Mus musculus: one gene and its partner. The protein of the gene in region 2 purifies or fractionates together with the protein of the main gene of each other region. This does not show direct contact. Links are inferred from orthologs where the notes say so. Each region holds a gene or a part of one and is shown on either strand. Other genes may lie near its edges.

The links. Proteins that work in one complex are often made in the same cells at the same time.
Region 1: the proteins of Ptpra (region 2) and Src purify together in Homo sapiens (co-immunoprecipitation; 4 studies listed by BioGRID and IntAct, with this or other methods). This does not show direct contact. The link is inferred for Mus musculus from reciprocal best matches to the Homo sapiens genes PTPRA and SRC.

The regions. Positions count from the first base shown.
Region 1 is NC_000068.7:157,465,788-157,469,304, forward strand, and holds part of Src (neuronal proto-oncogene tyrosine-protein kinase Src), read left to right. Parts: intron 1-85; coding exon 86-241; intron 242-1,643; coding exon 1,644-1,823; intron 1,824-2,695; coding exon 2,696-2,772; intron 2,773-3,337; coding exon 3,338-3,491; intron 3,492-3,517. UniProt on the Homo sapiens protein: Non-receptor protein tyrosine kinase which is activated following engagement of many different classes of cellular receptors including immune response receptors, integrins and other adhesion receptors, receptor protein tyrosine kinases, G protein-coupled receptors as well as cytokine receptors.
Region 2 is NC_000068.7:130,551,276-130,554,815, forward strand, and holds the end of Ptpra (receptor-type tyrosine-protein phosphatase alpha isoform 2 precursor), read left to right. Parts: intron 1-863; exon of another isoform or gene 864-921; coding exon 922-1,057; intron 1,058-1,077; exon of another isoform or gene 1,078-1,160; intron 1,161-1,566; exon of another isoform or gene 1,567-1,641; intron 1,642-2,118; coding exon 2,119-2,193; 3' UTR 2,194-3,025; downstream 3,026-3,540. UniProt on the Homo sapiens protein: Tyrosine protein phosphatase which is involved in integrin-mediated focal adhesion formation.

The DNA.
Region 1 (3,517 bases), about 27 Mb from region 2:
GATACATAGAGCCGTACACACAGGGCAGGGAAGCCAGCTTGCTGTGGGACCCTGCCTGAGCCCCATTCCCTGCCTCCATCTCCAGAACATGCTGATGGCCTGTGTCACCGCCTCACTACCGTATGTCCCACATCCAAGCCTCAGACCCAGGGATTGGCCAAGGATGCGTGGGAGATCCCCCGGGAGTCCCTGCGGCTGGAGGTCAAGCTGGGCCAGGGTTGCTTCGGAGAGGTGTGGATGGGTAAGGAACACACGCCCCTGTCCCCATCCCAGCTCAAAGACCCTGAGTCCCTCTCTTTAATTGTCTCTACTGAACAACTGGGCTGTTTTTCATTTTATTGTTGAACATTAACTGTACAAATTGTTACACTTGTTACAATTGTTTTCCTGTGACACTTTGAACCCCGCATGTAACATACTTGGCTCACTTCCAGTCCCTCACCCCACTCCCTGCCCCCCACCCCACGCTATGACTCACCAGGGTCAGCACTGAGGTGGGCTCCTGACTCCTTGTAACCCATGCTGCTGAAGATGAAGACTAGGGCATCTGTGTACCAGCCGCACCTGGGGACTGGGCACCACGGTCCTCAAGGGCCTGAGTGAGTGTGGTCAGGTCTCACGCCAAGCCTCAGCCTCCCGATGTGAAGAAGGGGCTGATGCCAAGCTTCAAGGGGCATCTGCATATTAGTTCAGCACAGAAAGAGACAGCGCTGTGCCGTGCGGAGGGAGTGGTGGGAAGTCAGTGTTCGGTTTCCTGTCTAATTGTGCAGCCATCGAGAGGCTCCTGGAGCATCGAGCTGCCTTAGCCAAACCCAGGCTCCCTGCTATGGCTGCTTCTACCCGGGTACCCACGAGTAGAGGGGGACTATGGGGCTGTAGTGGCTGTTGCCGTTTCACCATCTTCCTTTCAGAGGGCACTGGAGGGGCCGGGTCAGGTAGGCAAGGGAAGTCTTGGGTTGTGAGGAGGAAGGTCAGAGGGAGAAGCCAGCTTTTAAGGTGAGACCAAAAGGAGGGTTTGGGTAGAGCCTGAGTGAGCCACGGCCTTGGTCTTTCTCAACCTCATCTATGATTCTTGGTGTGTGGTGGGAATCTGAGGGCTTCCCACCTTTCCCTGGAGCTCTGCGCAGACCAGCAACCACCGGGAATCAGGGCATCCGGCCTGACCCGACACAGCTAGAGAGCTGACCCAGTCTACCCTCTGACCTGTCTCTGTGACAGGGAGGTCTCCCTGCCTAATGCAGCACAGGCACTGAGCTGACCTCTTGCCCCCAGTGACCCCAGACACAGCCCTCTCCCTCCTCTGACCCGTGCTGTGGTTGCTGGTGCCTCGGGTACTGACTACCCACCCATCAGGCTGCTGTTCGGCTTCCTGTCCTGTCCTAAGCAGTCAACATCCTAGTAGCAGTCACATTGTGAGCAGGCTCCAGACACACAGTTCACAGCCCTGGGAGGGGTCTCCATTCCCTGAGCCTATTTAATAAGTGTGAATGGAGAGTCTCAGCGTGGTATCTGGCCTTGCCCAAAGCCCATGCCCTGAGTTCAGAGGCAGAGATTGAGACAGGCACTTGTGTGGACTCGCCTGGGTGGCCCCAGTGCAGCAGAATGATAGCCTGTGCTCATGTTCCCACGTCTCTCCCCGACAGGGACCTGGAACGGCACCACGAGGGTTGCCATCAAAACTCTGAAGCCAGGCACCATGTCCCCAGAGGCCTTCCTGCAGGAGGCCCAAGTCATGAAGAAACTGAGGCACGAGAAACTGGTGCAGCTGTATGCTGTGGTGTCGGAAGAACCCATTTACATTGTGACAGAGTACATGAACAAGGGTAAGGTCTGAGCCCGGGGTGACCTTTTCAGGTGCCCACGCAGGGCGGGCCAAGGGCAACTTACTCCTTACCCCAGACCACCCCAATGAGTGTACGCTACATCAGGGACTGACTGCCTCTCTCCTTTTGTAAATAATAACAAATCTAGTGGGTTTTTTTCTAAAAGACGGCTTCTTTTGTCCTTTCCCACTGTCACGATCCCTGTTGTTGCTGGTTTGGTGGCACACACCTGTAATCTCAGTGCCCGGGGGTTGAAGCAGGAGATCGTGAGTTTGAGGCCAGGCTGGGTACATAGCAGGACTGTCTCTGTCTTGGTAAGCAGCAGTGTGGGGCTGAGGTTGTAGCTGGGTTGGTAGAGTGCTTTCCTAGCTTGCACAAGGCCCTGGGTTTGGTCTTAGGTTTGATCCCCAGTACTGCAAGAATTAGGCACACACCTGCAATCCCGGCACCGGGGAGATAGAGGTAGGAGGGTCAGGAGTTCAAGGTCAGCCTATAGAGTTGGGTTGCTTGAGACCCTGTCTCAAAACAAAAATATATGTACAGCATCCACATTACCTACCCCAGAGTTCCCTGCTGTCCTTAGTGCTGTGACTCTCCATCCAGCTTCAGCCTCAGGCAGCCACTGGCTAGCCGGGTTTGGTCCTGATAAACCTGTTTGTCTTGGGCTTTGCACATGATCTTTTGCATCTTATAACCCCCTGTTGTGTCTGCCTGACCTCCTCCCTACCCCACTTACTCCAAGGGCCCAGTAGCATTCCTTGATCTAGCTCCCTGGAGTCTTGGCCTTTGAGCAGCCCTGGCCAGGGTCTGGAAGCCACAGTTTCCTGCACAGGGAGACCCAGGCAAGGCTAGAGCTGGATCTCTCTCTCCAGGGAGTCTGCTGGACTTTCTCAAGGGGGAAACGGGCAAATATTTGCGGCTACCCCAGCTGGTGGACATGTCTGCTCAGGTGAGTCTCCTCTTCCACCTTCCTACACCTTTGGCTCTCGGGCTCAGTGCGCCCCCTTCAGGATGCCTGCTTTCATTACACCAGACTCTCACCTGGCAGGCGCCTGGGGTGGTACGCCACATCTGGGAATCAGAGGCACATACACATAATTAAGAATAAAAATAAAATATTAAAAGTTTAAAATTTATTACTTCCATTTGCTAGATGAGGAAACCGAGGGACAGAGAGGGGTCTTGGGACAACAGGCAGGACCTGGCACGCATCTGTGTCTATGGGTCATCTGGGGCCTCTTTTGTATATACTCGCCTGCCCGCCTGGCTGTGTCTTATTGTGACCTCCCATTGCCCTTTGCTGTCCCCTCTCCCCCTGAGCTTTGGTCTACCTTTTCAAGCCAGTGCTGTTTATTATAAGCTGAATGAAGTTCCTTGCTTGAAAAGACACGAGGTGGGCAGGGTGTTTGGGCATCCTTCTATCCTTCTATCAGGAATAACCAGCCCGAGACACCGGCTTACAGCACTGGGACGGGTGTGGGTTAGCCCCTGAGCCAGGCTCTCTGTCTCCACAGATCGCTTCAGGCATGGCCTATGTGGAGCGGATGAACTATGTGCACCGGGACCTTCGAGCCGCCAATATCCTAGTAGGGGAGAACCTGGTGTGCAAAGTGGCCGACTTTGGGTTGGCCCGGCTCATAGAAGACAACGAATACACAGCCCGGCAAGGTGGGGGTGCCTGGGGGTTATCCGAT
Region 2 (3,540 bases):
TCTTATCCCCAGGACCCACATAAAAAGCCAGATGTGGAACCCCAGCACTCTGATGCCAGCCCTCCAACAGTGAGATGGGAGGCTGAGGCAGAAGAGGTGGCCAGAAGCTCTCGGGCCAACTATCATGGTGTTAACTATGCAGTGGGAAAAACCAAGTGTCTGCCTCAACAACCGACTTCCAAAGGTTGTCTCCTAACCTCCGTGTGTACTCTATGGCTTATGCATGCCCCACACCCTGCAGCCTGCACATTTTTACAAAAGAAATCAGTAAGACTGGCCCACTCCAAACTAGAATCCCAACAGGGCACAGTGTGATGTGAGGTCTCCTCGCCAGGCCAGTGAGCTAAGTGTCCCCAGCATTCTCCTGGGCTCTGATCTCAAAGCTACCGATCTCCCTTTCCTTATGTACCAAATCCAGGTACACACTTTGTCCGCACCCCCTCCCCCTTAGAACTTGTTTCAGAGAGCAGCCACGTTGGTGTCTGCACACAGCATCCCTTCAGAGAGCCTGTCCTGAGCGTCCTGCCATGGAACAGGTACTTAGTGTTCCCTAAGGGAATCAACTGGTAATACTGGTCAAAATGGATCATGTCAAGAGGGAAGTTTGGATTCCTTAGAAAGAATGGAAAGAAGTCAGCAAAGCACCAGCGCAGAAAGTTTGAGTCAGAGCTGGTGGAGACAACTAGTCATCGTGTGCAGACAGCAAGGAGTCAGGCTGGCAGGGTGTGTAAAAGTTGTCACAGTGGTCCCACAGGCACATGCTCAGTGCACACAGGAAGGGCAGCAGAGGTGAGCACGGGTGTCCTGTCCCACTGATACCTTCCCAGAGTCAGCCTCAGCCTGCTCCTCCTCAGCAAACTCACCCCTCAGAATGGACAGCTTCAGGCAGCAGGTGTGGTAAGTGTATCTGCTCTGTTTCAGTGCCGGGGCAGGACGGACAGGAACCTTCTGTGCCTTGAGCACAGTCCTGGAACGTGTGAAAGCAGAAGGAATTTTAGATGTCTTCCAAACTGTCAAGAGCCTGCGGCTGCAGAGGCCACACATGGTCCAGACACTGGTAAGCTTCCATGTCTTTACCTGTGTCGGTACACTATCCGTAGCTCTTCCCTGTCAGGAGCAAGCCTTCAGGGAGCTCCGCAGACTCAAAAGACAGGGAGTGTCTTGGGAAGCAGGGCCAGAGTGGGAACACAGCAGAAGAATAACCAGAAGAAATAGAAGAGATTAGAAGGAAGTCCCTGGGAGCTGGGAGATAGTTCAGTGGGTAACAGGACTTGCTTTGAAAGCACAAAAAATTTGAGTTCAGACCCCCCCCCAATACCTATATACAAAACTAGATGGGGTGTATGCACCTGTAACCCCAATATTGAGGGCACAGCAGATCCCAAGAGCTCACTGAACAAGCCAGTCTAGCTGAAACAGCCATCTTCTGGTTCAGTAAGAAACCCTCTCTCCAGGGAATGGATAGAGAGCAATTGAAGACTTCCTACGTATCCAAATATCACCCACATACGTCACACACATACACTCTACTTTGAGTTCTGGTAAGGAGTGAACAGAAGTGCCTACCTTAATTTTGCTTGGCTTTCCTGTTCAGAAGTCTGACTCTTGACAGTCTCTGTATCCACAAAGGTTTTCCCGAATCTTGTTAAGTTAGAAAGGTTTGAGGGGAAATGTTAGTTTTAGGAGATTTGAGAGGAGATAAAGCTTTGGATGTTAGGATTCATGTCAGCCTAGCAGCCTGGGCAAGCTGAGTACCACCCTAGATGCCATGTGTTCAGCCTGGCACACCTACATCTGACCTGCAGGACCTTGGACTGCCCTCACATGTCTGGTCAGCCCTGCCTGTAGAAGATCTACTATAGTCCAAAAACATCCTTTTTCCTCCCCATTTTCCACTTTAAAAACTGGGTCTGCTAAGCCAGCATGGTGGTGCACACCTTTATTCCCAGCACTCAGGAGGCTGAAGTAGGCAGGTCTAAGAGAGTTCTAAGATAGCCTGGTCTATATAGGGAGTTCCAGGCCAGCCAAGGATACAGAGTGACATGTCTTTTAGAAAGGGGGCAGGGGCTTCAGCAATCCTCTGTTAACTGGTTTTTCCTGCCTCTGCCTGTGTTCCAGGAACAGTATGAATTCTGCTACAAGGTGGTACAGGAGTACATTGACGCCTTTTCAGATTATGCCAACTTCAAGTGACAGGTGACAAGGCCCACAGACAGGAGAATTGCCTTTAATATTTTGTAATATTCTGTTTTTGTTAATATACCCAAAATTGTATATATCTTATAACTGTTTTAGAAATGGCACATAGGCTTCTATTACCTGTTAGGTGGAGATTTTGTATGTAAATGTGTTAGCACTGATAGTCCTTTTCCAGTGTTTTATTGGGAAATTAAATAGTGTGATATTTGGGTTGATATAATGAAATCCTCAGCCTGGAAACTGGGCCAGATTGTTCCTTGCTTCAAATATCTTTTCCTAAAGAAGATAAACCTAAGACTCATTCCAGGTAGCTCAGTGCCAACTAAAACAAAGCACAAAGTTCTCAGAGCTCTTGAGGAAATGGTTGTCTCCCTGTCCCCAGGCAGGCCTCTTCCCCTCCCTGTCCTGTAAATATCCCTCCCCTCTCCAGTCCACCCTCATCTCCCACCAAGATCAGCCACCTCAGGCATGGGGAGTAATGAGACCAGAGCGCCTCTCTGGCACCACAGCAGGGATCGTCAGGTAATAAACACTCTTGATTCCCTGAGGAAATATCGGTCCCTTTGTCTTGGGCAGAGCAGTCTTATGAAGCTGGGGCTCTCCTGGGTTGTTCCTAGCCCTGCTGTTGGCTGGTGTCTTCCAGGTCCTCTTTTCTATCAAGTATAATTATCCCAGCCACCCACCCAGCTTTGCTCCCTGGGACAGACAGCAAGGGTCTCACTGAGTTTCTCTACAGAAAGAGACACCAGGGACAGAGGAGCTGCTGCAGGCTTGAGCTGAGGCCATTTTGGCCTCTCTAGTTTCTGTCCAGAATAAGTTTTAAATGTTCTTCCGGAGTTGTATTTATTTATGGGTGTTACGTGTGGGCACACACATGCCACAGCACACTACTGTTCGAGAGTTAGGGCTCTCCTTTCGGCTTGTTTTTGAGGCACAGTATATTAATCTCTGTTCTGTTGCTGTGATAAAGTACCTTGACCAGGGCAACTCATAGAAGAAAGTAAATCTGAGACTCAGGGTTTCAGAGGGTGGGTCTGTGACCACCATGGTGGAGCATGGCAGCAGGCAGGCAGTCATGGTGCTGAAGCAGTACCTTAGAGCTTACAGACAGAGCCTGGGAAGGACGTGGGCTTTAGAACCTTCAGAGCTCAGCCCCAGTGATACACTTCCTCCAGTACCTGGAGACCAAATATTCAAATATATGACCCTATGAGGGCTATTCTCTCTCTCTCTCTCTCTCTCTCTCTCTCTCTCTCAGGTTTGGGTGTCCTGTTATTTCTACTGCAGTGCTGTTTAAGATTTGGGATTCTCTACCATCTTTAATAGGAGTACTGGGCTTGG